3 linked regions of the Anolis sagrei genome follow. The protein of the gene in region 1 interacts with the protein of each later gene in a biochemical or structural test. Links are inferred from orthologs where the notes say so. Each region holds a gene or a part of one and is shown on either strand. Other genes may lie near its edges. The genes, in order: UBXN2B, PPP1R11 and PPP1R7.

Evidence for each region.
Region 2: the proteins of UBXN2B (region 1) and PPP1R11 form a complex in vitro, tested with the Homo sapiens proteins (2 studies listed by BioGRID). The link is inferred for Anolis sagrei from reciprocal best matches to the Homo sapiens genes UBXN2B and PPP1R11.
Region 3: the proteins of UBXN2B (region 1) and PPP1R7 form a complex in vitro, tested with the Homo sapiens proteins (2 studies listed by BioGRID). The link is inferred for Anolis sagrei from reciprocal best matches to the Homo sapiens genes UBXN2B and PPP1R7.

What each region holds. Positions count from the first base shown.
Region 1 is NC_090024.1:48,750,826-48,761,204, reverse strand, and holds the start of UBXN2B (UBX domain-containing protein 2B), read left to right. Parts: upstream 1-5,661; 5' UTR 5,662-5,878; coding exon 5,879-6,052; intron 6,053-10,379. UniProt on the Homo sapiens protein: Adapter protein required for Golgi and endoplasmic reticulum biogenesis. Involved in Golgi and endoplasmic reticulum maintenance during interphase and in their reassembly at the end of mitosis.
Region 2 is NC_090022.1:23,182,446-23,192,961, forward strand, and holds the start of PPP1R11 (E3 ubiquitin-protein ligase PPP1R11), read left to right. Parts: upstream 1-6,114; 5' UTR 6,115-6,413; coding exon 6,414-6,479; intron 6,480-10,516. UniProt on the Homo sapiens protein: Atypical E3 ubiquitin-protein ligase which ubiquitinates TLR2 at 'Lys-754' leading to its degradation by the proteasome.
Region 3 is NC_090023.1:227,041,320-227,052,290, forward strand, and holds the start of PPP1R7 (protein phosphatase 1 regulatory subunit 7), read right to left. Parts: upstream 5,207-10,971; coding exon 4,999-5,206; intron 846-4,998; coding exon 723-845; intron 1-722. UniProt on the Homo sapiens protein: Regulatory subunit of protein phosphatase 1.

The sequences.
Region 1 (10,379 bases):
TTTATTTAATCATAACCAAATATACAAGTTTGGCATTATCACTCTCCCTCCTCCTCATCTTCTGTTAAGGATCATTTGGATCTAGGAGGGATTCAGTGCAACGATGTGGCTTCTGAATTGCCTAGATTATATTACCATAATAACGGAAGACATCACATTTGCTCTTTATGTCTGGCACGTACACAGATGTAATGAATGAAGTCTGACTTGCTACATTTTATTGAGCTTGAAGTTACTGCTTTATGGAAAACTAGTTTATATACTTGGCTTATACACCAGCCTGAATGCTATTCATTAGAAAAAGTAATTGTTCGCTTTTACAGTTGTAGGGATACAGAGAGGTGAGGAAAAATATCCCTTTTTTTACAATCCTTTGTTATTTTAAATAGTATTTACACTATTTTCCATTTTCTTTTTCATAGTAATTTATTTTTTGTTGTCTTTGGAGGTACTTGCCCTGTGGAGTTTCTGAGTTTTTTAGGCATTACATAGGCACATCAATTGATATAAGAAGCACAATAATTCACCAGCCTGAAGCATGAAGCAGTACCTTTTTTGTCCCTCAGGTACTGAGCACACCTTGCTGGCTGAAATCTCCATAGCAAGGCTTTACTGCCCTCTTGCACTCTCACCAGCCCCACATCTAGTCAGATGCTGCTCTCATCAGCTGAAGACTTTTATGAAGCAGCAACTCCCATCAGCCCAACACCTGACCAGCTTCAGTTCCCATTGGCCCCACAGCTGCAGTTTCCATCAGCCCCAGATTTGCCTAGCAAAGGGCTATGGGTGTTGGGTGGTAAGTAAAATAGGCCTGCTGATCAGTTAGGAGGAGAAAAACCTGTTTGGTTGTGGGTAGGAAATCTAAAGCCATACATATTATAGAAGAAGAAAGAAACTAGAGTGCACACACTATCTTAGTTTAGAACCCTGTATACATTTTAGAAATAGTAAGAAATAGTAAGAAAGGTGGAAGCTGTTGAAAGAAAAAAAGTAATCCCTGGGTACATTTTGGAAGAAGCTTTAAAATGGTCTCTAGAAGGTTCAAAATATGTTTGTTTATTTATGCAAGGCTTACCTAACCTGGTTGTTTAATTTTACATGAATATAATATTAGTTTTAGATTTTTTTTAAAAGTCCACTGAAACTTGTTGACCTACTTTTCTTTCTTCGTGGTGTAAAGTTAGAGAAGTAAAGCCCAGAAACACATCTAGTCCATTAACTAAGAATGTACTCCAAACCATTGTACTGCTGAACTTACTGACCGGAAAGTTGGTGGCTCGAATCCGCAAGACGGGGTGAACTCTCACTGTTAGCCCCAGCTCCTGTCAACCTAGCAGTTCAAGAACATGCAAATGTGAGTAGATCAATAGGTACCATCTCAGCAGGAAGGTAAACATCACTCCATGCAGTCATGCCAGCCACATGACCTAAGAGGTATCTACCGACAACGCCAGCTCTTCAGCTTAGAAATGGAGATGAGCACCACCCCCCAGAGCCTTTACCTTTATCTGTGTGTCTGTGTTTCATTGTTCTGAGGCATCGAATGTTTGCCTTGTGTCTCTGTATATGCGGAATATAGATAAGGTGTTGTTATTGTTATTATCTGTGAGCAATCAAATCCACAAATGGCAAAACTGCAAATGTTGAAGGACAACTGTAGTCTTTTTTTTTTTTGCCTCCAATCATCATCATCATCATTTATTTCTTTTCCGCCTCTCCTTGTTGCTCAAGGCAGGTTATAAAACAGCTAAAAACACATAATCATCATAAACATTATATATACATATATTAAAACGTATTTCTACAAAATGCGTATAACAAATTTAGATGTCAAAAATAGCAGGCTACCAGCTTTGAATAACAACTTTACTATTGAACTGCAATTTAGTGTACCATGAATAAGGTTTGTAAAACAGCTGTTGTGATTTTCAATACATTACAGAAAAAAAGGAAAAAGCAAAATTAATATATTTAGTGAGTATTAAGTGTTACTTCACCACCACCTAGTGGTGAAGAATGTCTCTCCAAAGGCTTGTTTTTAACAAAGTCTTCTAAATACATTTTATGTGCATCCTCTAAAAAGGAGAAAAGCCTTTTCTCTTTTCAATAACAATAAATTTTGGCATATAGGGAGTAAATTAATTGTTATATTTCAAAAACTGAAATTGAAGCCAAACAAGACAGAGGTACTTCTGGTCAGTTGAATGGCCAAACAGGGTATAGGGGTCCAACCTGTGCTGGACAGGATTACACTCCCCCTGAAGACACAGGTTCTCAGCTTGGGAGTACTCCTGGATTCATCACTGAGCCTGGAACCTCAGGTCTTGACGGTGGCCAGGGGAGCTTTTGCGATATTAAAACTTGTGCGCCAGCTGCGCCTGTCCCTTGAGAAGCCAGACTAACAAGAGTTGTCCACACTCTTGTTACATCTCAATTAGATTACTGCAACGCACTCTACAAGGGGTTGCCTTTGAAGACTGTTCAGAAGCTTCAAGTAGCCCAATGCGCAGCAGCCAGACTGCTCATCGGAGTGGCATGTAGGGTACGTACAACTCCTATGCTGCGTCAACTCTTCTTGCTGCCAATTTGTTACTGAACACAATTCAAAATGCTAGATTTTAAATGGTTCTGGCCCAGCTCACCTGCCCGAATTCATCCCCCCTATAAACCATCCTGGGTGCTAAGATCTTTTTGGGGGTGGGCCTGTTCTCAGTCTTACCTTCTTCACTGGGGCAGCTGATGGGGGCAAGGGACCGGGCCTTCTCAGTGGTGGCCCCTTGGTTGTGAAACTCCCCAGTGAAATTAGATCAGCCCCCTCCCTCCTATCCTTTAGAAAACAAGTTAAAACCTGGCTATGGAACCAAGCATTTGGAGAGTAACACAGGGCTATGTGATTGGAACGGCTTCTGGATTATGGTTTTTAGTCTATGTGTAATCTTTTAACAGCTTATTTGTATATTTATATGTTAGCGTTTTATTATTTTCATGCTTTAACGCACAAGGTGTATTGTATTTTGTTTGTCTTATGTTAATGTGGATTTGAATTATTGCCAATTTGGAAGCCACTTCAGGGTTGAGATAGAGCGGGGGGAAATACAGTAAATAAATAAATTTATTTTATTTATTTAAAACATTTATATTCTGCCCTTCTCATCCCGAAGCGGACTCAGGGCAGAGCACAGTATATATAGGCAAACATTCAATGCCAAGGACATGAATTCATTATATGCATACATAAACATTAAAAACATTTTATCAATATTAAAATACATTAATTAAATACAAAATAATATTAAAGTCAATATTAAAATACACTGTTTAAAAGTCTTGATAATCTGTGTCTAATCTGCCCTGAGTCGCCCAAAAGGCTGAGAAGGGCGATATACAAATATAGTAATAAATAAATAAATGGCCTGAAAAGGTTTCCTATCACTGTTTTATTGCATTGTCCCAAAAGCTTGGTCCCACAGCCAAGTTTTTACCATCCTTCTGAAGGACAGGAGGGAGGGGGCCTATTTTATCTCACCACTCGGGCCGGGGGGGGGGGGGCAATCACCAAGAAGGCCCTCTCTCTTGTCCCCACCAATCACGTTTGTGACAATGGCAGGATGGAGGATCTCTGTGATGGTTCATAGGAGGAGATGCATTCGGACAGGTAAATTGGGCTGGGGCCATTTAGAGCTTTATAGGCCAAGGCCCACACTTGGAATTGTGCCCAGTAGCAAACTGGCAGCCAGTAGAGCTGGGGCAACATGGGAGTTGTATGCTCCTTGTATGCAGCCCCAGTTATTGACTTGGCTGCCTCTCGTTGGACTATTTGAAGTTTCTGAGCAGTCTTCAAATGTAAGCCGCCCCGAGTCCCCTTGGAGAGATGGTGGTGAGATATAAATAAAGTTTTTTATTTATTATTATTATTGAAAGGCAACCCCACATAGAGTGCGTTGCAGTATTCTATCTTGGATGTAGCAAGAGTGTGGACCACCGTGGCCAAGTCTGGCTTCCCAAGGTAAATAAATAAATAGTCCAAGAAAGATTAGGAAGTATTTTATTTTATTTATTTATTTATTTAGTACATTTCTATACTGCCCCTCTCAGCCTTCTGGCGACTTGAGGCGGTTTACAAGGCAAGAATTCAATGCCGCCAAGGACACAATTACAACATACAATATAAAATACATCAGCAACAATAAAACCAAACATTATAATGACACATACTTCAATCGATAATCATTAAAACAATGTCCATATAGTTATTCCATTATTATATCCTTTACTCTGTATTTTCAAATGCCCGCTCAAATAGCCATGTCTTAAGATTCTTCCGGAATGATAGGAGCGAGGAAGCAGATCTAATCTCCCTAGGAAGGGCGTTCCATAGCCAAGGGGCCACCACTGAGAAGGCCTGTCTCTCGTTCCTGCCAACCGTACTTGTGATGATGGTGGGACCGAGAGCAGGGCCTCTCCAGACAATCTTAAAGTCCTTGCAGGTTCATAAGGGGAGATTCGTTCGGTACATCCTGAAGTTAAGAGCTGTTTGGCAGTGGAATGTGCTGCCTTATAGGGTGACAGAGTCCAATTTTCTGGAGATTTTTAAGCAGAGGCTGGATGGCCATTTGTTAGTACTGCGTTGACTGTATCTTTCTACTCTTTGATTCTAGTGGCTAACATGTTTAATGAATGTAAGCTTTTGTGGACTCTCGGTTAACCGGAACTCAAGCAACCAGCAAAAAATTCAAATAAATAATACTTTAAATAAAATTAAAGGACATGTATTTATTGTTAAATTGTATTATATTATATTATTTCTGGAATTTATATGCAGGTTTTTTTTTTCCGGATGGACCCAAAGCAGCTAACAAAAACAACATAAACAATGTAACATAACCATTCATTAAATCAAGCATAAACCCATTATATTAAATTAGTCTTTAGTTTTCATTATTTGCTGTTGCTGTATTTCAGTATGAATATCAAGTCAATACAGAGTTTAGATATGGCATAGTAGTAGTTACGTCCATTTTTAATAATAACTCTCAGGCAACCAGAAACTAGATTTATCCAGCATGTACCAATTCCCATGGGTGCCGGTTAACTTTGGCTCCATCGACACGGCCAAATAATGCAGTTTCAGAATCCAAATTAACTATATTCTGGATTTTATCAGTCTACATTGTCATAAAATCCAGTTCAATGCAGTTAATCTGCATTCTGGAATTGTTTTACATGACAGATCCAGCCTGAGAGTCAATTATATACGAATCAGAAAGGGTCTATCTGCACAGTGTGATGAATGCAGTTTGGCACTCCTTTAACTGCCACGGCTCAATGCTATGGAATCATGGGAGTTGTAGTTTTACAAGGTGTTTTGATTTCTCTGCCAAGTTCACACCGATATGCTTGGGACCAGAAGTTACTGGGAGCCCCATCTACACTGCCATATAATGCAGTTTCAAACTGTATTATATAGTAGTAGATGGGGCCCCAAACACTTTCTGGCCCCCTCAAAATTTCGGTGTGAGGGCTGCTCAACCTGTGACGGCCCTGAACTGAAAGGATAACACACATTGGGCCCGCCTCCCTTCGGAGTCCTGTCAACCCAGAGTGACGGCCGGGCCAGCCAATGGGAACGGCGCACGCGCAAACAGGTGCGAGTGGGCGGGGCGGAGGGAGGGCCCGAGAAGACAGGCAAGAAACTCGAGCGAGGAGGCTTTGGGGACCAGCGGAACCGACGTGGGCCCTGCACCTGCGAGCCGGTCGCCATAGCAACCCTCGCTGCCGGAAGAACTCCTCAGCGAGCGAGCGGGCGCGCGCCTGCCCAACCGCCCTCCCGCGTGCTCCTCTCTCTGGATTTGGCAGTTGGCACTCGCCCAGCTCGAAGATGGCGGACGATGGGACACTCGCCGAGCGGCCTCAGGAGGAAGACGAGGAGGAGGAGGAGAAGGAGAAGGAAAAAAGGGAACCGGAGGCGGCTGCAGCAGCGGGTACCAGCGGAGGGAGGCGGGAGAAAGGGCCCCGAGGAAGCGGCCGCCCGCCCACCGTCCGGGATCTGCAGGTAGGGAAGGCAGTGTGTGTGCGGCCCAAGGGCCTCGCCCCCTCTCGCCTCCTTCCTCCTCCTGAATTACAGAAGAAACCCGAGCCCTGATGCCTTGGGGTGGTTCGGAAGAGTGGGCCAAGCCCATGACTCCCTTCCTCTTTGGCTCAGACAGATTTAGGGGTCTTTTCTCCGCCCAAATGGGAAGCAAACGTGCCCCTGACGATGACGACACATTTTGTCACGTCAGTCTTGGAAGGAATGCGTTCCCAGTGCAGGGAAGCCATGGCTATACGGAGAGTTATTTTTTTAAATGCAGATTGAGCATCCCTCATCAGAAATGCATGGAAGCAGGGCCCTTCCACTCAGCCATATAACCCAGAATATCAAGGCAGAAAATCTCACAATACCTGCTTTGAACTGGGATATCTGAGTCCACACTACCATATATTCCAATTCAAAGCAGATAATTTGGGATTTTAGGGTTGTCATCTTGTCTTCGGTGTCAGTTGGGAGCCCCTCCCCCCAACACCAACTGCTGCTCTGAGACTAGCCTAAAGAGAGGGGTCCAAACAGATATTGTATTTATTTTATTTATTGTACTGTATTTTACTTGTAAGCCGCTCTGACCTTCGGGGTGAGAAGGGCGGCATATAAATGTCATAAATAAATAAATAAATAAAGCAGATAATTGGCTGCCAGTCAGCTTCCGAGCACAATTCAAAGTGCTGGTCTTAACCTATAAAGCCCTAAACGACTCCGGCCCAATTTATCTGTCCGAACGTATCCTCACCTACGAACCATCAAGATTGCTAAGATCGTCTGGAGGGACCCTGCTCTCGATCCCACCGCCTCACAGGCGTGGCTGGTGGGGACGAGAGACAGGGCCTTCTCGGTGGTGGCCCCTCGACTCTGGAACTCCCTTCCACTGGAGATCAGAACTGCCCCTTCTATCTTAACATTCAGGAAACAGGTGAAAACTTAGCTTTGGTGATTGGCATTCAACAAATGAGCCATGATCCTGTGATATGGATGGATGACGACGAATAATGATTTTTGATGACGACTGACCACTGTAATTATGATTATGATTGTATTTTGCTATTTTAATGTTTTAGTGTGATTTAGAATATGATGTTTTAATGACTGTCTGTAATATTGATGTTGGAAACCGGCCTGAGTCCCTCGAACGGAGGTGAGAAGACCGGTATATAAAACTACTAAATAAATAAATAAATAAATAAATAAATAATTTGGGATTTTACTCAGCTGTGTGGAAGGGGCCATGATCTCGGATTTTTCCTCTTTCAGTTCGGAATACTTCTTTATACATAATGAAAGGGCTTCAACACCAAACCCGTTTGTGGAGTTTATTTCTAAAAGATAAAATGTACACTTTTTACAGGAATTTTTAAAAACGTCTGACATATTCTTACGCTATAGCAAACATTTTTTCCAAACTCTGTACCTAAATGATTTAATGCATTTTGATAACTTTTATATGTGTAATATGTATAACACCATAGTCTACTCCAAGCCATCAATGTGCTGCCACCTCATTTTTCTTTTCTGTTTTTTGTGAGGGTACCTTTTGGAAACATACTCCACGTTTATCCAGTCAGTTTCAACCTATGAATGTAAACGTAGTTGCTGTGAGTTTTCCGGGCTGCCAGGTTCCAGAAGCACAACCCAGAAAACTCACAGCAACCCAGTGATTCTGGCCATGAAAGCCTTTGACAGCACAATGTAAACTTGCCTTTTATTGGTATGGATCAGGCCTGGGCAAACTTCAGCCCTCCGGGTGTTTTGGACTTCAAATCCCACAATTCCTAACAGCATACCTGCTGTGGGAGTTGAGTCCAAAACACCTGGGGGGCCAAAGTTTGCCCTGGCCTGGTATGGATTATTTTAATGTGTTTTAATCATAGTTCTGTGTCTTTTAATATATGTGCTTTCATGGTCTTATGCTGTTATCTATGTATTTTTATTGTGTTGTACCCTGCCTCCAGCTATGAAGAGAGGCGAGAAAGAAATACAGTTTATTTTTATTATGTTTGTTTCATATACGCATCCTTTGAAGATAATTTCATATGCAGTATTTGGTACTATTCCATTATCTGGGTGGAAGCCACTAGGGGGCACTAAAGAGAGATGGATGGTCCGTTTTATGGGAATGTTGTGGGGGTAGAGGATGAAGGAATAAAATCATTTCCCCCTATTTTCCTGTTATTCACCCCCCCACCACCACCCATGTCCCCGTCGTGGAAGAAACTCTCATTTATGATATGAGAAGTGGAAATATTTATGTATTTATTTACCATATTTATCCCACCTTCTCGAGGGGATTCAAGATGGCTTTACACGTAGGCAACTATTCAATAAGCAGCAAAAATGGGGGGAATGGTTTTCATCAACTCCCTCACTGTAAAATGGACCATCCTTCTCTTTGTAGCATCTCCTAGTGACCTCTGCCTGGATAATGGAACAGTATCCAATATTTTAATAATTTTGTGCATGTAATAAAGTGTATGTGGAATCATCAGGGGAAAAGTTGTCACTATCTCAGCCACTATCTCAGTGGATAGTTTGAGGTTTTGGAATATTTGGGGGTTTTTAGAATTCAGGATAAGAGCTGCTCATTAAAATTGCTGTGACAGTGTATTCCTATGTATAGGTACAGAAAGTACTTTCACTTCTATTGTGTAGGGCTCCAAGTAAGGTGATATTGACAGATAGAGAAACTGCTCCGCAATGTTACTTCTACGCTCACCATTTGATTAATTTTTTAAATGATTACTGGGTGTTTGTTTTTTTTGTTTACTTGTTAAAAATAATCTGAACCCCTTATTCATGGATTCTGTAGCTACGGATTCAATCACCTATATATACAAGCAGTCCCCATGTTACTGACAAGATAGGTTCTGATAGTTTGTTCTCAAGCTGAATTCGTTTGTAAGTCGGAAAATGTATTTTTTAAAGTATAACTCAGAAGATTTCACCTCACTTTCTATCCCTGTAATAATTGGATTTTGAAAAAATTGGCTTTTTGTGGAAACAAGGATTGGTGAGAACGCTTCAGTTGAGACATCTTTTCCCCATGATAATTCTTCCAGGAATGATTTTCCCTTCCTATAGGTAGATTTCTCTCATTTCCTGTTTTCTCTCCCTGTTCTTAAATATGAATCCTTTGTATGTCAGATGTTTGTAACTGTACTGCCTGTGTGTGTGTGTGTCTCCAAATGACAGACATTTGGCATTTGATATAAGGAACATTATTTTACTAAGCCTCTGTATATAGTGTGAGCATCCATTGATTTTGGTATCCGCAAAGAGTCCTGGGACAAACTCCAGTGCATACCAAGGACCCACTGTATGCTTTCTTATCTTTTATGACACAGAAATATTGGAAGCAAGGAAGGAGTTTATTCTAGAAATTAGAGTTTATAAAACTCTGGTGATGTATTTTCTTACTCAGCATCTCAAACTATGAAATATGTTTTGTGTGTATATTCTACAATTTTGTAGCTTTAACAAATTATTTGTAAGAATAATTTATAATTATAAATTATAAGAATAATAAGAAAGTGAGAAACGTCAGGAGAAATGCCTCTAGAACATGGCCATATAGCCCGAAAAAACCCACAAGAACTATTTGTAAGAAAATAAATGTCCCTTTGTATAATGGTTTCTGCTTTAATCAGAAAACACCATGCTGTGTAGATGTATTTTTACTCTGTCTAAATGTATTTTACTTATCAGGAAAATCACTTGCAATAAAGCCTTGAACATTTAGCAAAAGATTGCCAAGTTATAGTGTTTGTGGGTTAGAAATAGCAGCATTTTATTTGATCTGGGTCTCTTGTGGATTTTTTTTTCTCTTGGTTTAAGTGAGTTGTAATGATGCCAATATAACCCATAATATAAACTGCTCAGCACGCAGTTTTATTTCTCTAATATCCTATGATATAAGATATTTATCTTGCCCACGTGCACCACTCAGTATAGGACAACATGGAAGGCAAAATGTGACAAAACAAAACATGAATGTATATAGTTATGCACTTTTTAAACAATGAGATTGGAATAGTTTGTGCTATCATTGCGGAGTCAAGATGACAAAACTCACAAAACTTTTGCCACAAAATCTTGCCTTCATGATAGCTGGGTTTGTGAATCAGATGCCTATAGAGATGATAAATTTCCCCTGATTTTGACTGGTGTTTCCCAAATGTAGATATACCCTCCTCCTCCTCCTCATTATTATTATTATTATTATTATTATTATTATTATTATTATATCATCGTTCTTTTATTCATGTTGGGTAGAGTTTCAAGGAGTTGTGGTTCA
Region 2 (10,516 bases), on another chromosome or scaffold:
AAAGGGAATGGAAGTGAGGGAGGGAATTGAATCCATCAGATAACTGCCTGCCTTCTCTTCTCTTCCTTCAAGGCCAGGGAAGTGGCCGTTGGGATGAAGGCAGATGGTTTATGTAAACTATCAGATGGTTTATGTAACTTTATAGTGGACAATAGGGAGCCGCGGTGGTGCAATGGGTTAAGCCCTTGTGCCAGCTGAACTGCTGTCCTGAAGACCTGAAGGTCGGTGGTTTGAAGGGTGAGCTCCTGTCTGTCAGCCCCAGCCTCCCATGCGGGGATATGAGAAGCCTCCCATAGGATGGTAATACATCCGGACGTCCCCTAGGCGACATCTCTGTAGACAGCCAATTCTCTTACACCAGAAGCAACTTGCAGTATATTCTCAATTCGCTTCTGACGCGATAAAATAAAATACATTTTAAAAATTTAAAAAACAGTGGATGATGACTTTCTGCACCTTCATTCACAAATGGAGACTGGAGTAAAGAGTCCCTTTTGGGGTTGAGAAGGGTGGTATACAAATACCGCAAATATAAATAAATAATAAAGTTGCCTTCGGGCTGAAAAGGGTGTGATAAAAGTGTGCTAAATAATTTATATAAAGAAAAATGTCATGTTCATTTGTGGGATTAACATAACTCAAAAACCACTGGGCGAATTGAAACCAAATTTGGACACAATACACCTATCAGGCCAACAAGTGACAATCACTCATAAAAACACTGAAAAACACAGATTAAAAGCCAAAATAATAATAAAAAAATACATTACAATGCATTGTCAAAACTACATATAGACACATATACACAAATATATACATACATACATATAAACACACACAAAACACATATACACAGACTGGGCCACAGCAACATGTGGCAGGGGACACATAGTAAATAAATAAATCAGAAGACTGAGACTTGGAAGAACAGCTAGGAATGAACTAGATAAGGTTGTCAAGTGTAAAGTTATATCACTGAATATCCATGTTATTGTAATTATGATTTATTTTTATCATAATGTACAAGGGATCAGGAGAAAGCTAGGATATGGAACTAGAAGTATAAAGATACAGCATTGAATACTAAAATTCCTGAAGAACTTCCTGATGGTATGAGTTGTTTGGCAGTGGAAGATACTGCCTGGGAGAGTGGTGGAGTCTCCTCCTCTGGAGGTTTTTAAGCTAGCTGGATGACCATCTGTTTGGAGTACTTTGATTCCTGCATGACAGAAAGGGGTTGGAATTGATGGCCCTGGCAGTCTCTTCCAACCATGAGATTCTATTATTCTAAAGTTAAGATTGCCCATGCCACTGTATTTCCCATTTCTATGTATTGCTGTGAAAGCAGGACAACAACGAAATCTGTCAACTCATTTGAAATGTATAGCTGGAAGAGAGTTCTACAGATACTGTGGACTCCTAAACTGAACAATAAATAGGTCATTTAGAAGGCCGATTCTAACCAATGAGCATAATGCACACTTACCTTTCAAGGCAGTGCTCTTGCCCTGAGATTCTTCCCCTTTGGAATGAGGACCAGAGCAGCTTACATGGAATGAGGACCAGAGCAGCTTACATGGGTAACATTATGCTTGAGGAGGAAAAGCAGCTTCCTACTGTCTCCATATTTTATACATCTTTTATGTGTTTCCCACATCAAATTGTATGGCATGGAACAATTCCAAATATTTATTTTTTTATTTCAAATATTGGTACCCTTCTCTACCCCCAAAGGGGGCTCAGGGCGGCTTATAGCTGGCAACAATTCAATGCCCCATAAATACAACAGATAAAACAACAGTTAAGGTAAAGGTTGTCCCCTGACATTAAGTCCAGTCATGTCTGACTCTAGGGTGTGGTGCTCATCTCCATTTCTAACCGAAGAGCCGGCGTTGTCCATAGACACCTCCAAGGTCATGTGGCCAGCATGACTGCATGGAGCGCCGTTACCTTCCCGCCGGAGCGGTACCTATTGATCTACTCACATTTGCATGTTTTCGAACTGCTAGGTTGGCAGAAGCTAGGGCTGACAGCTGAAGCTCATGCCACTCCCCGGAATCGAACCTGCAACCTTTTGGTCAACAAGCTCAGCAGCTCAGTGCTTTAACCCACTGCACCACTGGGGGCTCCAAAAACAACAGTTACATGATAAGTAAACAATAAATCAGATTAAAAACCATTTAAAATAGTACAAATAGTCCGAGTTCAACACCTCCCCATATGGACATTGTTCTATCAGTTGATCCCTGTGGATGCTCGTTTCTGCAACTTTTCCATCTCTACAATGTCATTTTTTGACATTTCTTCTAAGTGCACAATATTCTAGATTCAATTAGCATAAAGGCAGAATTGTATAGCAGTGGTTTTATTTTCAAAACGTCTTTTTCTAATGATATCCAATTTAGATACTGTATTTTTAAATGGTTTTTCTATCATAGGGAAAGACTAAAAGTTCTTTGTACAGCGATGAGCAAATCGCTTAAAGTCCTTGTCAGACCGAATCTGAAGAATCTCAATGGCTGCAGGGAGTCAAAGATCAATGACAGAGCGTTGGGGGGATCGCTTAAGCCTGGCTCCAGGATAGGGGCTTAAAGCCTGCAATACACCAGTCTGAATCCTCAGCCTGCAGCCTGACATGAAGGAGACAGTGACCTACTTTACAGCTGGAACGGAAATCTCACCCACCTTAAAAGCAGGGCTATAAATGTAACACGCAGACGGTGCAATAATAAAGGAACAAAAAGCACCTTGTTCATTTTGAGCAAGAATCAAATGCTCACCTAATGATAACTCGATACTGTCTACACATATCCTGCAGAGTTCCCCCCTTCTCCCTGTGGATTCCTTTATAAAGATTATACTTTGCGTATATAATTTAAATAGGAAGATATTTTACCCAAAATTGCCAACTTTGATCCAAGCTTTAAGAATTGGAAAGAAAAAATCCTGCAAAGCAGATGCTGCTGAATTTAAACAGAAATGCTTAATAAAATAAGTTGTCCTCTATTTAAAGCTGCTTTGACAGAACTTGGGAGTTGAGATTTGGATTTCCATTTCTAAATTGACCCCATCCAGCATAGCCAGTAATTACAAGCATTTTTCCCCATGTCAGAAGCGACTTGAGAAACTGCAAGTCGCTCCTGGTGTGAGAGAATTGGCCGTCTGCAAGGACGTTGTCCAGGGGACGCCTGGATGTTTTGATGTTTTACCACCCTTGTAGAAGGCTTCTCTGATGTTCCTGCCTGGGGAGTTGGAGCTGACAGAGGGAGCTCATCTGCGCTCTACCTGGATTCTAACCTCCGACCTGTCAGTCTTCAGTCTTCAGTCTAATCACCTCTCAACAAAATCTAATCACCTCAACAAAAATTTGCTCCAGGCTCTGTCAGACCATTATATGCTAATCAAGGTCGTCAGTTGAAACATTCACACCTAGCTCCAGCAGACAAGAGTCCTTTGTCCCACCCTGGTCATTCCACAGATATATAAACCCATTTCCCTTGTTCCAACAGCTCACCTATTATTATTATTATTATTATTATTATTATTAAACTTTATTTGTACCCCGCTAGCATCTCCCGAAGGACTCGATGCGGCTTACAAAAGCCAAGGCCTCAATACACAACATAACAATACACTTAAAGCAAATTAAAACAATTAAAGCAGTATTAAAACAACAAAACCACAAGCAATAAACAATACATCAAACAAGATAAAACTAGGCCGGGCCAGAGTAAAGGGTACAGGATTAAAAAGTGCTGATGTGACAGGTGAAATGTAAGGGTTATAGGGCAAGTGCAGTGTGTGGCAGTCTTAATTCTACTAAAGTGCTTCTGGGACTTGGTATTGGAGGTTTCCTAATCGGGAAAGGCACATCACAACAGCCAGGTCTTCAAGTTTTTTCTGAAGACTGCCAATGTAGGGGCCTGTCTAAGATCTTTGGGGAGGGTGTTCCAGAGACAGGGGGCCACCACGGAAAAGGCCCTGTCTCGTGTTCCCACCAAACGTGCTTGCGACGCAGGCGGGATCACGAGCAGGGCCTCTCCAGATGAGCGTAGTGAACGCGTGGGTTCGTAGACGGAGATGCGGTCACACAGGTAGGCTGGTTCCAAACCGTTCAAGACTTTGTAGGTAAGCACCTGCACCTTAAATTGGGCTCGGAAGATAAATGGCAGCCATTGGAGCTCCTTGAACAGGAGGGTTGACCTCTCTCTGTAGGGAGCACCAGTTAACATCCTGGCTGCTGCTCGTTAGAATTTCCGAGCCGTTTTCAAGGGCAGCCCCACGTAGAGCGCATTAAGGTAATCCAGTCGAGAGGTGACCAAGGCATGGACCACCCCGGCCAGGTCAGCCTTCGCGAGGTACGGTCGCAGTTGGCGCACGAGTCTCAATTGTGCGAAAGCCCTCCCAGACACCGCCTGAGCCTCAAGTGTAAGCGATGAATCCAAGAGGACTCCCAGACTGCGGACCTTTGGCTTCAGGGGGAGTGTAACCCCGTCCAACACAGGTTGCCACCCTATACCCCGGTCAGGTTTACGATCGACCAGGAGGACCTCTGTCTTGTCGGGATTGATCTTCAGCTTGTTCCTCCTCATCCAGATAGACACAGTGGCCAGGCACTCGTCCAGCACCCGAGAGGCCTCCTTGGAATTGGGTGGAAAAGAGTAGTAGAGTTGTGTGTCATCTGCATAGAGGTGGCACCTAACTCCAAAACTCTGGATGACCTCTCCCAGCGGTTTCATGTAGATGTTAAAAAGCATGGGAGACAAAATGGAGCCTTGCGGGACCCCACAGGTCAAGGGCCAGGGGTCTGAGCAGGCGTCTCCCAGCTTCACCAACTGGGATCGACCCTCCAGGAAGGACCGGAGCCACGACAGAACCATGCCCCCGAGACCCATCCCAGAGAGACGACCCAGAAGGATACCATGATCGATGGTATTGAAAGCCGCTGAGATGTCCAGAGAAAAGCGACTAAAATGATAAAAGGTCTGGAGAACAAGCCCTATGAGGAGCGGCTTAAAGAGCTGGGCATGTTTAGCCTGAAGAAGAGAAGGCTGAGAGGGGATATGATAGCCATGTATAAATATGTGAGAGGAAGCCACAGGGAGGAGGGAGCAAGCATGTTTTGCGCTTCCCTGGAGACTAGGACGCGGAACAATGGCTTCAAACTACAAGAGAGGAGATTCCATCTGAACATGAGGAAGAACTTCCTGACTCTGAGAGCCGTTCAGCAGTGGAACTCTCTGCCCCGGAGTGTGGTGGAGGCTCCTTCTTTGGAAGCTTTTAAACAGGCTGGATGGCCATCTGTCAGGGGTGATTTGAATGCAATATTCCTGCTTCTTGGCAGGGGGTTGGACTGGATGGCCCATGAGGTCTCTTCCAACTCTTTGATTCTATGATTCTATGAGAACCAACAGAGTCACACTCCCCCTGTCCAGCTCTCTACGGAGGTCATCCACCAAGGCTGTCTCGGTGCCGTGACCAGGCCTGAAACCAGACTGTGACTGATCTAGGTAGTTGATGCCACCTAGCAGATCGAAAACAGCTGTGAGTAGATAAATAGGTACCAATTAAGCAGGGAGGTATTTTAATGGCACCGTAAGGAAATACCAGACCATTATATGCTAATCAAGGTGGTCAGTTGAAACATTCACACCTAGCTCCAGCAGACAAGAGTCATTTGTCCCACGCTAGTCATTCCACAGATATATAAACCCTTTTTCTTAGTTCCAACAGACCTCACTACCTCTGAGGATGCTTGCCATAGATGCAGGCGAAACGTCAGGAGAGAATGCCTCTAGACCATGGCCATACAGCCCGAAAAAACCTACAATAACTCTATAGTAGTATAGTTTCGAAAAGCTCTGCCTCTAACTATAGTAGCATAACTATAGGGCCATGTTCTAGAGGCATTTCTCCTGACGTTTCGCCTGCATCTATGGCAAGCATCCTCAGAGGTAGTGAGAGGTAGTAGTATACTAGTCTTGGAAAGCTCTGCCTCTAACTGCGCATGCGTCTGGGTTGCTGTGCTCTTTTCAGGCTGTATGGCCATGTTCCAGTCGCGTTGTCTCCTACGCATGCTCTGTCTTCTTCTCCAGTACGGCGGAAGTGACTTTGGAGTCTTAGCTGGGGGACGCCTTACCGTGAGGGACGGAAATAGAGAGGCGGAGGGAGGCGGAAGCAGGGGGACCGACCGGAAGTGGGCAGAGGGGAGAGGCTTGCTGCACCTGGGAGGAAGGTGGAGCGAAGAGGCGAGTCTGAGTGAAGGTGGCTGAAGCGGGGCCACGAAAATAGCTTCCCCGTGAGCGATTCCTGGCCGGGGCACCCTGCGGATAAGGCCCCCCCCTTCAACAAGAGCCACGGCCGAAAGGGTCCCATCCCGCCCGACCACCTCTTCGACGACCACCACAACAACCATGGCGGAGTCTGCGGCCAGCGTGGGATCAACCGCGACTCTGACCGAGACGGAGGTGACCGAGCCGGTGAGAAGCGAGGGCTGGGCTTGGTGAAGGCCTGGTGTGGCCCTTGTGCCAGTGCCATAGCAACCATGGTGATGGTGCTGATGGAGGAAGAGGAGGGAGGAGGGGGGGGGGCTGTGCTGCGGTTGTTATAGCAACCAGTGGGTCGTGAGAAGGAACTCTTTCTCCCCTGAGAAGGGAGGAGGAGAAGGAGGAAAGGAGGATGATGATGATGATGGTGACAGCCACCAGGTGGGCCTTCCCATTGAAGGCTGCCACTGCCAACGCACTGTGAGGCATGCTTGCTCCATGAAGCGCCCACGTTCACAGGTAAAAAGGGGCTGGAGAGCTTTGAGAGGGAAGCAAATCATAGAATCATGGAATCAAAGAGTTGGAAGAGACCTCATGCGCCATCCAGTCCAACCCCCTGCCAAGAAGCAGGAATATTGCATTCAAATCACCCCTGACAGATGGCCATCCAGCCTCTGTTTAAAAGCTTCCAAAGAAGGAGCCTCCACCACACTCCGGGGCAGAGAGTTCCACTGCTGAACGGCTCTCACAGTCAGGAAGTTCTTCCTCATGTTCAGATGGAATCTCCTCTCTTGTAGTTTGAAGCCATTGTTCCGCGTCCTAGTCTCCAAGGAAGCAGAAAACAAGCTTGCTCCCTCCTCCCTGTGGCTTCCTCTCACATATTTATACATGGCTATCATATATCCTCTCAGCCTTCTCTTCTTCAGGCTAAACATGCCCAGCTCCTTAAGCCGCTCCTCATAGGGCTTGTTCTCCAGACCTTTTATCATTTTAGTCGCCCTCCTCTGGACACATTCCAGCTTGTCAATATCTCTCTTGAATTGTGGTGCCCAGAATTGGACACAATATTCCAGATGTGGTCTAACCAAAGCGGAATAGAGGGGTAGCATTACTTCCCTAGATCTAGACACTATGCTCCTATTGATGCAGGCCAAAATCCCATTGGCTTTTTTTGCCGCCACATCACATTGTTGGCTCATGTTTAACTTGTTGTTCACGAGGACTCCAAGATCTTTTTCACACGTACTGCTCTCGAGCCAGGCATCCCCCATTCTGTATCTTTGCATTTCGTTTTTCATGCCAAAGTGGAGTATCTTGCATTTGTCACTGTTGAACTTCATTTTGTTAGTTTCGGCCCATCTCTCTAATCTGTCAAGATCGTTTTGAATCCTGCTCCTGTCCTCTGGAGTATTGGCTATCCCTCCCAATTTGGTGTCGTCTGCAAACTTGATGATCATGCCTTCTAACCCTTTCGGTCATTTCTACCCCGCCCTTCTCACCCCCTAGTGGGGACTCAGGGCGGCTTACATCCGGCACAATTCGATGCCAACAGTTACAATAAAATGCAATAGCAATAACACAATAGATTAAAAACAAACAATTAATACAGTACAATACAATACAATATCAACTAAAAACCGCTCTATAGCCCGCGTTCATCGAGTTTTAAAATCCGTCAATCCATTTAGCATTACCACAGTCCTTTCCAACTCTAGTCATCGTTACCTTGTTAATCTGCCAGATTACCCAAATGCCTGGTCCCATATCCATGTCTTCAGCTTCCTTCTGAAGGAGAGGAGGGATGTTGACAACCTGATTTCCCCGGGGAGTGAATTCCACAGGCGAGGGGCCACCACTGAGAAGGACCTGTCCCTCGTCCCCACCAGCCTCACTTGTGATAAAGGTGGGGCCGAGAGCAGGGCCTCCCCAGAAGATCTTAAACTCCGTGGTGGGACATAGAAGGAGATACGTTCGGACAAGTACACTGGGCCGGAGCCGTATAGCACAATATTAGTAACATACATTCTCATATTGTACTACATCAGTATACTGTAATATTATTCATAATATTACAAGCAATATGAAATATACAATTATTATATTGTATTATTATTACTTTTGTATTATTGTATTATTATTATTATGGAGCCCCCAGTAGTGCAGTGGATTAAAGTGCTGACCTGCTGAGCTTGTTGACCAAAAGGTCGCAAGTTCGAATCCGGGGAGCATCGTGAGCTTCCACTGTCAGCCCCAGCTTCTGCCAACCTAGCAGTTCAAAAACATGCAAATGTGAGTAGATCAATAGATACCAGTGGAAAGGTAACGGCGCTTCATGGAGTCATGCTGGCCACATGAACTTGGAGGTGTCTAGGAACAACGCCAGCTATTTGGCTTAGAAATGGAGATGAGCACCAACCCCCAGAGTCGGACACAACTGGACTTAATGTCAGAGGAAAATCTTCACCTTACACTAACAGCAACTCTTTCAATGTACAGTGGACTCTCAATTAACCGGGACCCATGGGGATTAGTAGATGCTGGATAAATGTAGTTTCTGGTTGCTTGAGGGTTCCTATTAAAAATAGGCCTATTAAAAAAACTGGACTTCATGTCAGGGAAAACCTTTACCTATTATTATTATTAGTATTATATTGTATTACAATATAATATTATTAATGATATTATATGTGTATACAATATATCAAACTTTTTAAACAGAGGGCAAGGTCACAGTCCCTCAAACTGTTGGAGGGCCGGATTATAATTTGAAAAAAAATAAATGAGTTCCTATGCACACTGCACATATCTTATTTGTAGTGCAAAAACAAACAAACAAAAAAACCCACTTAAAAACAATAAAATAATTAAAATGAAAAACAATTTCAACAAATTTAAACTTATTAGTATTTCAATGGGAAGTGTAGAACCACTTTTGGCTAATAAGATAGGGTTGTTGTTGTTGTTGTTGTTGTTGTTGTTGTGTGCTTTCAAGTCGTTTCAGACTTAGGTTGACCCTGAGCGAGGGCCAGGTAAATGACCGTAGAGGGCCATATCCAGCCCTCGGGCCTTAGTTTGAGGACCTCTGCAATATATTATATTATTACCACAGCACAATATTAGTATTATATTGTACTATACCACTATACTGTAATCTTATTAGTAATATTACATGTAATATAAAAGATATAATTCTTATATTTTATTATTATATTGTATTACATTATAATATTATCAATATTATATGTGTATACAATATATTATATTATTACCACAGCACATCAGTAATATATTAATACTATAAAGTGCAAGTTCGAATAGCAGTAAAAGTGCAACAGCTCTTGGTCTGCAGCCTTTTGCTCCAAAATCTTATGAATCAAGGTCTCTAGAATCCATAGATTGGTAGTATATAAAATAAGTCTAAGGTGAAGGCACTTTCCCCCTCCCAAAGTAGCCCAGGCCCATAGACCAGTCTTCCTAAGTCGTCATCCAATATGGCGGGTGTTGAGGGAGCCACAATGGAGGACGGATCTGAATGCAGCCGGTGGTGATGGTACGGCCAAGAGGTAGGTGTAAAATGGTCATAGGGAACCTGTCAGTGTGATAAACCTCCGAAAGATTCACAAGACCAGCAAGAGGGTATCTGAACAATCAGGCACTGGAGTGATGGAGCAGGCAGGGGTAATCACAGCCGAGAGCAGGAACAGCAATAGCAGATGGCGGCCATGTTGGCTGAGATAAGCGGGAGGCTTCCAGTAATGATGAAGCCTCTAATATCAGCAGTGGTGGCAGCGATCTCCGAGGCTGTGGCAGCAATGATATGACAGCACCTGGGATGGAAAAAACCCTCTGGAGTCACCGGTGCCGATGTCAGGGCACTGATGAGTTTTTCATAAAGCCAGCCGCAACAACAAGGCAAGGTCCAGTCCCAAATGGCCAGCCATGGATGATGGTCTTTAGGCCCCTCAAGGCGGTGAGAGATGGTAATTGGGACCCAAGCTAGTCCCAATGGTGCCTACATTAATGGTGGTAAGTCAGAGACTAGCAGTGACCAGTGGCAGGAGGAAATGGCGGCAGATAATTGTGCCGGCTACAGTAGGTCAGGTCTTTAAGAAGGGAGGGAGCGTGTTTCAGCCACGTTGAAATGGCAGGGCTCAACCTCTTCACCCTTGGTCTTCACCCTTTCTTGCCAAAAACTGTACGAATCTTGCCACAAACAGACAAGAATTCTTTCTCCCACCCTGGACATTCCA
Region 3 (10,971 bases), on another chromosome or scaffold:
TCTCACCCTAAAATGTTATGATGACTGAGCATAAGAAAAGGTATTTCTTTCACATTGTCCATAAACATTTTCTGTTTTTACTGCAATAATATATGTATTTTATGTCAAATCAAAATACTCTTTTAAAATATACAGCCTTTTCTTGCTGTTCACAGAAAAACACGCCCAAACACAGTTCTTTACTTTTAAGAGAGATCTGATCAAACATGTGTCCCTTCAATCTTCAGAAAAATATTTTTTTGAAATTGTCATCTTGATTTTAGATCCATAGTTCTTCTATGTTTAGCTCTCTTCCAACTGTGTTTATTCTTTGCTAGGTAAAGAACTATATGCTGCCAGCTCATGTTATGTGGAGGCTACTGCAGGTATTATATAAGATTAAGAGAGGAAAGAAGAACACCCACCAAAGCAACAACAAAACCTCCACAACCGGGCTAACACAAGCTGCTATGTTTAATTTAATGTTCACAGTCCCTGTGAAAAATGACTAACTAATCTGCCATATACAACTATAGCTATGCAATCAATTCACCAAATAAATTCAAAAGATGCAAAATATTTAATAGCATAAGAGGTAAAAAACATAATATAATCACTTCCCAAAAGGAACATCTTTAGTTGTCTCTTAACACTTTGGCGAGGTGAGATTTTGAAAAGTCTTAAGCAGCACCACTGTCACATTAAACACAGCAGACCATTTCTCTATTTGAACAAGAGTTTACCTGTCGAATTTTCACCATTCTGCTCGTCTCTTAAGCTCTGTTGACTGAGGTCTGATACTAGGCAAACCCCTTTCTTCTTTCCTTCATCATCTCCTGACTCTTCAGACTCGATCCTCCTGTCCACTAAAAGGTAAACGTCGTCATTACATTTATTTCAGGGGGGAAAAAACACTTCGAACCAACAAAATGAGAGCATGGGTGAAATAAGATCCTATATATGCTTCTTGAGAAGGAAGCCTTAGTAAGTATAACAGTTTACTTCCTGGGAAGTATATAAAGAATATTGCCTTGGGGACAAGCTCAAAAGAGTAAGGTTGCTAATTGGGAAGCTAAACATACCTACATGCCCAAATTGAATATTAGTCTGCACATTATCTGAAGGCCAAATTGACAACTAAGTCATGTCTTGCAAACATTTCACATGGCAGTAATTGAATTAATGGGGAGGTCATGGAGCTCATATGATCTGTCTGTTGCATACTGGCTTAATAAATAAAGATGTAACTTAGTCTTGAATCCCTTTAAGCGGCCAATTTGTACTTTCTTGACTTGTGTAAGTGTATAAGCTGTAGTACCAGTCTCTGGCCTCTTGCATTCAAAGTCATAGGATTCATTCATTTCTTATGGTCTATCATTCTGCAGTACTAAAAACACAGTTGTCACATTCAAATATGTAAGTGCCGAAAAGGAATTTATTACATACATGACAGCAAACACTTTTGCAGACATATTACATGCAGCCAAACAGCAGTTCTGTTAAATGGTCTCATATATACTGTATTCACAATCTACTATGTGCTAAAGTATATATTTACACAGATAAAAAAATATCTCATCATGGACTACACCAAATTTAAATGTTCTTTTTGTATACATTTATTTATTTACTGTATTTTTATCCCGCCTTACTCCCCACAGAGACTCAAGGCAGTGAGCAATGACATGACAGAATACAAAATCCATATACATGTGAATATAAATATATACTTTTGGCTCCTCCATATGCATGGATTCAATCATCCATGACTTGAAAATACCTTGTTCCAAAAATTCAGATAGCAAATCCTGTTTTTTTCATTTTATATGACACTAATGATTTTACTGTGCCAATGTTTATAATGATATATAACTTGAGCATCCACAGATTCTGGGTCCCATGAGAGATCCTTGAATAAAATGCTAGCAGATATCAAGGGCCCACTATACAGTGAAGATGCCATTCTTTGACAAAGGACAGAAGAGAAATGTAGTAAATAAAAGCATAATGATCAAGAACAAATTTCTCCAAACTCATTGAGTTTGGAGAAAAGAATATATAACCAAGTATTTGGGTTTTAGTCTCTATACTGCCCTGTAACAAAGTATCCCATTTGTTATTTTTCAAGGTAAATCTCAGCAGGCAAAGGCTGAAGTTAGGGCTAGCCCAGGCATGGGCAAACTTAGGTCCTCCAGGTGTCTTGGACTTCAACTCCCACAATTCCTAACAGTCGGCTGTTAGGAAATGTGGGATTTGAAGTCCAAAACTCCGGGAGGGCTGAAGTTTTCCCATGCCTGGTAGAGGGTTCAATTTGGGAAGCAACTCATGGGAAATAAAGAAGAATCAGCAAAGGACTATAAAAGATGGGTAGGAGTTGCCTTAGCTATGAGTCAGTAGCTGCTAAAGTTGACATTCTAGGAGGCAGTGAATTGTGTGACTTCGGGCGAAGCTGTCAAATGCAGCTTCTTCCTAAAAATCTTCCCCAGGTGCACCTACACTGGAGAATTAATGCAGTCTGGCTGCTCTTTAGCAGCCTCATCTCAATGGTATGGAATCATGCGATTTGTAGTTTTATGCAGTCATTAATTTTTTAACTCGCATCTTGTGTTCGCTATATTTTAATCTTTGTTCTGTGTATTTTAAGATATGTATTTCTTTTTCTTTCTTTTTTTGTCGTGTCAGGAGCATCCTGTTGTGAGAGAATTGGCCGTCTGCAAGGACGTTGCCCAGGGGACGCCCGGATGATTTTTGATGTTTTATCATCCTTGTGGGAGGCTTCTCTCATGTCCCCGCATGAGGAGCTGGAGCTGATAGAGGGAGCTCATCCACCTGTCCCAGGATTCGAACCTGCGACCTGTCGGTCTTCAGTCCTGCTGGCACAGGGCTTTAACCCAGTGCGCCACCGGGGGCTCCTATGTATTTCATTGAACTATGTTTCAATATATGTATTTTACGTAATGGTTGTGTGTTCTTATCTGTGCTGTAACCTGCCATTACAGCAGGTAAGAAATAACAACAACAACAATTACAACAACAACAAGTATTCTAGTTTGGGAAAGCACCAACACTCCTTCACAGAGAAGGATAATAATAATAATAATAATAATAATAATAATAAGCCATTATCAAGACCTCAAAATCAAAGTGCAAAGGCTCTGGCATAAACCAGTACAGGTGGTCCCAGTGGTTATCGGCACACTGGGTGCTGTGCCAAAAGATCTCAGCTGGCATTTGGAAATAATAAACATTGACAAATTCACAATCTGTCAATTGCAAAAGACCACTTTACTTAAATCTGCACGCAACATTCGAAAATACATCACACAGTCCTAGACGCTTGGGAAGTGTTCAACTTGTGATTTTGTGATACAAAATCCAGCATATATATCTCGTTTGCTGTGACATACTGTTTTTGTGTCAGTAAAATAATAATAATAATAATAATGTTTATTATTCATAATAACGGTGGTCCCAGTGGTGATTGACAAACTGGGTGCAGTGCCTAAAGACCTTGACCAGCACTTAAAAACAATTGGCGCTGACAAAATCACCATCTGCCAACTAAAAGGTCACCCAACTCAGATCTGCATGCATTATTTGCCGATACATCACATAGTCCAAGACACTTGGGAAGTGTCCAAGGTGTGATCCAATACAAAAGCCAGCATAGTGATCATGTTTGCTGTGTACTAATCTTGTTGTGTATCAAATAGTAATAAGTTTTATTTATATCCCACCTCCTCTCCCGGAAGGAACTCAGGACGGTTTAAACAGTTTAACAGTAACAGTTAAAACAAAACATAGGTCAAATTAACATAACTTAAAATAGATCAATTGCAATTACTGAAAACATATAAATACACAACATATTATCATCATCCTAGTAATCCTTCTTTGAAAAGAGTGCTGGTGTTTCCTCAAACTGGGGGCCCTTCCACACAGCCCTATATCCCAGAATATCAAGCCAGAAAATCTCACAATATCTGCTTTGAACTAGGTTATCCGAGTCCACACTCAGATAATGTGGGATTTCCTGCCTTGATATTCTGGGGTATAGGGCTGTGTGGAAGGGTCCTGGAAATCCTAGGATTCTATAGCATTGAGCCAGGAGAGTTGAAGTGGTCTCAAACTGCATTAATTCTGCAGTGGGGATGCGCCCGAAATGCAGAAACAGCAACAGCAGAAGAAACAACAGGAGTACTATCTACCTAATGCAAGGAGAACTACTGCATTTCTCTTTAAGTAGAGAAGGATTAATTAAGCCCTTGCAAAACTCCGGCTCCCAGGCTGTCATAGAATTGAGTCATTAACAGTTGAAGTGATGTCAAAACGCATCGATTCTACAGTGTAGACCAGGTATGGGCAAACTTGGGCCTTCCTCCAGGTGTTTTGGACTCCAACTCCCACCATTCCTAACAGCCTCAGGTCCTTTCCTTTTCCCCCTCAGCCGCTTAAGCAGCTGAGGGGGAAAAGGAAAAGACCTGAGGCTGTTAGGAATGGTGGGAGTTGGAGTCCAAAACACCTAGAAGGCCCAAGTTTGCCCATGCATGATGTAGAGATGGTGGCAGGCAATGAAAGGAGCTGCCCCAGCACAAAAATGCAGAATTAAAGCGGGTTAATCTCGCTAGAACAGCCATGGCTCAATGCTATGTGATGCTGGGAGTTGTAGTTTAGTGAGGCACTGGCCCTCTTTGGCAGAGAAGCCTAAAGGTCTTACTAAACTCCTATGATCCCACAGCATTGAGCCATTGTGGCTAAAGCGGTGTCAACCCTCATTAATTTCACAGTACAGATGCACCCTCGCTCCCATCTGAGGCCTCTTCCACACAGCTGTACAAAATCCACATTGAACTGTATTATCTGGCAGTGTGGACTCAGATAACCCAGTTCAAAGCAGATAATGTTGATATTCTGGGTTCTATGGCTGTGTGGAAGGGCCCTGGGTCTCCACTGCCTGATAATCTGGAATAAGAAGACAATCTGGGATGAGATCCTGGGACAGAGGCAGCATGCACTCACCCTCCATCATCTCCTGCGCGCCCTCAGACTCAGCCGCCGCCATAACGCTTGGCAGTCCCTCCTCCTCCTCCTTCCGGCATCGGCCCCAGTTTCGCGGGCAGCCAATGGGAAGCCACATCGGGGAGGGCTCCAGCCAATCGGGAGCGCCACTTCGCCGCAGAGGTTCCCTTGGGAGTGCCGGCGCATGCGCGGAGCCCCGCCGCCCCATGGGAAATGTAGTTTTTCTTTCCCAGGGATTTCAAGGCTGGTGGTGGGATTCAGTAGCAAGGAGCCAAGCATTGTCGCCTCTTGCATAGCGTGAAAGGGTTTAAATCACCAAAATATATATTATATTATATGGTACTGTAATATAAAGTAAAGGAGGGGGATTACATTAGTAACATACCATGGGAAGATCATCAGCTCCTACTAGCGATGCTTCTTGCTCCAGATATTGGGATTTTGGTGGATGGTTTGTACGTGCGATTGATGGGGACATCTAGGATTTTTTTCCTGTTCTGGTGTTAATGTTTTTTTATTCTGTTGTTTCTCATTGCCATACAGAGCAGACTCTCAGGCCACTTCCTCACAGCTGAATAAGATCCTATATTTGTTTGTTTGTTTGTTTATTTACTATATTTGTATACCGCCTTTCTCAGCCTGTGGGCATGCTGGTCGCTTCTGTGGTGAGAGAATCAGCCGTCTACAAAGACGTTGCCCAGGGGACGCCCGGATGTCTTGCAATCCTGCGAGGAGGCTTCTCTCAGCCAGCACGTCAACGACTTAAATCTAGACATAGTTTTCTAAGATCTACAGAGACACTCGCTGGAATACCTCAGCAAGTGAGAGTCCAAAAGTGGAGGCTCAAACCCAGAACCTCAACCAATGGCTGATACCAAATGAGAGACTCCCCCCTGGGCACACAGAGGACTCAGCGACTTGGAAGGCGCTGAACAGACTGCGCTCTGGCACCACGAGATGCAGAGCCAACCTTCAGAAATGGGGCTACAAAGTGGAATCCTCGACATGCGAGTGCAGAGAGGAGCAAACCACTGACCACCTGCTGCAAATGCAACCTGAGCCTTGCCACATGCACAATGGAGGACCTCCTTGCGGCAACATCAGAGGCACTCCAAGTGGCCAGATACTGGTCAAAGGACATTTAATCAACTACCAAACTCACAAATTTTGTATTATGTCTGTTTGTTTGCTTTGTTCTGTTAGAAATGTAATATAATTGACTGGCTGTTCTGACACGAAATAATAATAATAAAAAGCCTGTGGGCGACATGTTCTGGTGTTAATGTTTTTTTTTTATGCTGTTGTTTCTCATTGCCATATAGAGCAGATTCTCAGGCCCCTTCCACACAGCTGAAAAAAAAATCCCACATTTATTTATTGGTTGTTTGTTTGTTTATTTATTTACTATATTTGTATACCGCCTTTCTCAGCCCGTGGGCGACTCATGGCGGTTTACAGAGGCAAAATTCAATGCCCAAACAACATAAAACATTTAAAACATTAACATATTAAAAAGATCTTGATCCTCGTGGACAACAAGTTAAGCATGAGCCAACAATGTGATGTGGCAGCAAAAAAAGCCAATGGGATTTTGGCCTACATCAATAGGAGCATAGTGTCTAGATCAGGGGTGCACAAACTTTTTAAACAGAGGGCCAGGTCACAGTCCTTCAAACTGTTGGAGGGCCGAATTATAATTTAGAAAAAAATGAATGAATTCCTATGCACACTGCACATATCTTATTTGTAATGCAAAAAAACCTTAAAAACAATACAATAATTAAAATGAAGAACAATTTTAACAAATACAAATTTATTAGTATTTCAATGGGAAGTGTGGGCCTGCTTTTGGCTGATGAGATAGGATTGTTGTTGTTGTGTGCTTTCAAATCATTACAGACTTAGGTTGACCCTAAGCGAGGGCCGGGTAAATGACCTTGGAGTGCCGCATTCGGCCCCTGGGACTTAGTTTGAGGACCCCTGGTCTAGATCTAGGGAAGTAATGCTACCCCTCTATTCTGCCTTGGTTAGACCACACCTGGAATATTGTGTCCAATTCTGGGCACCACAATTCAAGAGAGATATTGACAAGCTGGAATGTGTCCAGAGGAGGGTGACTAAAATGATAAAAGGTCTGGAGAACAAGCCCTATGAGGAGCGGCTTAAGGAGCTGGGCATGTTTAGCCTGAAGAAGAGAAGGCTGAGAGGATACATGATAGCCATGTATAAATATGTGAGAAGAAGCCACAGGGAGGAGGGAGCAAGCTTGTTTTCTGCTTCCCTGGAGACTTGGACATGAAACAATGGCTTCAAACTACAAGAAAGGAGATTCCATCTGAACATGAGGAAGAACTTCCTGACTGTGAGAGCCGTTCAGCAGTGGAACTCTCTGCCCCGGAGTGTGGCGGAGGCTCCTTCTTTGGAAACTTTTAAACAGGCTGGATGGCCATCTGTCAGGGATGCTTTGAATGCAATATTCCTGCTTTTTGGCAGGGGGTTGGACTGGATGACCCATGAGGTCTCTTCCAACTCTAGGATTCTATGATTCTATATAATATATAATCATAATAAGATCAATAAAACATTTCCGTCTCCTAGTTAAAAACAAGGTCCAGTCTTGTCATCCAATCGTTCCATATTCCTATGTCTATTACACTGCCTTAAAGATTTCCAAACACTTGCTCAAACAGCCAGGTCTTAACTTTCCTCCGGAATGTTAAAAGCGAGGGGTCTGATCTGATGTCCTTTGGAAGGGTGTTCCAGAGCTGAGGGGCTACCACTGAGAAGGCCCTGTCTCTCACCCCGCCAAATGTATTTGTGACGCAGGCAGGATCGAGAGCAGGGCCTCCCCAGATGATCTTAACGTCCTAGTTGGTTCATAGGAGGAGATGCATTTGGACAGGTAAGTTGGGCTTTATAGGCTAAAGCCAGCACTTTGAATTGTGCCCAAAGCAAACTGGCAGCCAGTGGAGCTGGCACAACAGAGGAGTAGTATGCTCCCCGAGCGCCGCTTCTGTTAGTAACATTATCTGCTTTGAACTGGAATATAGAATTATAGAGTTGGAAAAGACCTCATGGCCCATCCAGTCCAACCTCCTGCCAAGAAGCAGGAAAATCACATTCAAAGCACCCCTGACAGATGGCCATCCAGCCTCTGCTTAAAATCCTCCAAAGAAGGAGCTTCCATCACAGTCCAAGGCAGAGAGTTCCACTGCTGAAAAGCTCTCACACTCAGGAAGTTCTTCCTAATGTTCAGGTGGAATCTCCTTTCCTGTAGTTTTGTTATGGCTGATAGGAGAGATAATACCAAGAGCGATCCTTTGTTTGAGGCGGAAAAGGTATGTTTATTTTCAGCTGAGACCCTGGCGTGGAATCACGTCCAAAAGCCAACTAGAGCCCCAATAAAGGATTGACTTTACCTTATATACATCTTCAAATGCAGGTAAACAAAGAAACATGCTTCTACATACATAAAATCATCACTATGTCACTTTTGCATCATAGACATATAAAATTATATCTTCCTACATGCAAGGGGCATGTCTCTATATTTTTTTTCTAAAGCAGCTTACAGCAATAGAGATAACTAGAATTCAGCTTACATAGATCCACCAGGGGCTTACTTTTGACCTGTCAGGAGGGAGGGAGAGAAACTCCTTACTTTTAGAAGTAAGAAGATATGGCCTGTGCTAAGCTATATTAGTCTTTGTAGTGTATAGATAACATACCCCCCCTTCTCCTCCCCTTTCAACACAGATCTCCTTCAGCATTCCTCTGTCCTGTCAGCTTGGCTTCCTCATACAGAGAGAACCTGATTTTTCTATACTTCAGTGCTTCTAATGTATATACAATATATGTATAAATATCTATATTCCCAATATCTCGACATCCATTTGAAGCCATTGTTCTGCGTCCTAGTCTCCAGGCCGGCAGAAAACAAGTGTGCTCCCTCCTCCCTATGACCTCTCCTCACATATGGATACATGGCCTTCATCATGTCTCCTCTCAGCCTTCTCTTCTGTAGGCTAAACATGCCCAGCTCTTTAAACCTCTCCTCATAGGGCTTGTTCTCTAGACCCTTGATCATTTTAGTTGCCCTCCTCTGGACACGTTATATGGCAGTGTGGACCCAGATAACCCAGTTCAAAGCCGATATTGTGGGATTTTTTTATGTCTTGATATTCTGGGTTATATGGCTGTGTGGAAGTGCCCTCAGTTAATACGCACCCATGCCGGATAAATATAGTTTCTGGTTGGTTGAGAGTTATATATTTAAAAGGCTCACCATACTATACCAATGCCATAAACTCTGTATTGACTTCATGTTGAAATACAGTAATTAGAAGCAAATAAAAGACAAACTCAATAGAACACAATTTTACTGTTTTTACTGTGTTATAAATTGCCTTTATTTGCTTTTATAATTAATTCTATTTATTTTATTATCATTTTGCCATTTGCTTGAGTGCCGTTTAAATGAGAGCCTACTATATATTACATTCATGCATTTATGGATAAGCCTGTCTAAAAAGCATAAGGGCCCTTCCATGAAGGCATATAACCCAGGATATCAAGACAGAAAATCCCACAATATCTGCTTTGAACTGGGTTATCTGAGTCCACACTGCCATATATTCCAGTTCAAGGCAGATAATGTGGGATTTTATGCAACTGTGTGAAAAGGGCCTAAGAAAGAGTCAGATTAAAAATGAGCTGCTTCCAAAAAAAGGGAGACAGAATGAAGGCTTTTCTTGGCTATCCTACTCTCAGTGATGGAAACAATAGTGGCATTCTGCCATTGAATATGGATGCATTGGTATGCATACTCTATACACTCAGGATGTGCTTGCACTGTAGGTTTAATGCAGTTTGGCCACATTTTAACTGCTATGGATCAGTACTACAGAATCATGAGAGCTGTCGTTTTATAAAATATGTTTTCCTTCTCCAAAGTAGGATGGTACCAAATTACAATTCCCAGGACTCCATAGTATTGATCCATGGCAGTTAAATTGGTGCCAAATGGCATTAATTCTGCAGAGTAGATGTGCCCAAAGTCATACTGCTTTTGACTAATTCCCTTTTTAAAAATTTTACAAGCCTGTAATAATAATAATAATAATAATAATAATAATAATGAGAAGAAAGCCCTGCTTCTCGAGATTGAATGTTATTTTCTTATATATTCTGCCTCTTTGGAAAAAAGCAGAGATACCAGTTTAGGAGTGATATATTTTTAAAATTGGATCTTTGTTTGCTTGAATGTTTAAACTTTTATGTGAAATATATAATAACATGCATTGTGTCATTTTAAATATTAGTTTGCTAATAATAAAAAAATATTTAAACCATATTTACTACCGTATTTTATCATCTGTGACAAATTTCCGTAATCAAGTACTATATACTAAGTATATTTCTTCTGGCTACCCGATTAATTTCATAGGCTTTTCTTAGCTAGTTATGTAATATAATAATAATAAAGGTAAAGGTTTTCCCCTGACATTAAGTCCAGTCGTGTCTAACTCTGGGGGGTGGTGCTCATCTCCATTTCTAAGCCGAAGAGCCGGCATTGTCCATAGACACCTCCAAGGCCATGTGGCCGGCATGACTGCATGGAGTGCCGTTACCTTCCTGCCGAAGCGGTACCTATTGATTTACTCACATTTGTATGTTTTCAATCTGCTAGGTTGGCAGAAGCTAACCTAGCAGATTGCCGCTCCCTGAATTCGAACCTGTGACCTTTCGGTTAACAAGTTTAACAGCTCAGCAGTTAACTTACTGCACCACCGGGGCTCCATAATAATAATAATAATAATAATAATAATAATAATAATAATAATACGCTTTATTTATAGTCTGCTTTATCTCCCTGGAGGGACTCAGAACAGATTACGGAACACATATAAGGCAAGCATTCAATGCCTTTTTACACAAACAATGACATACAATAAGGTCATTGTTTGTGTAAAG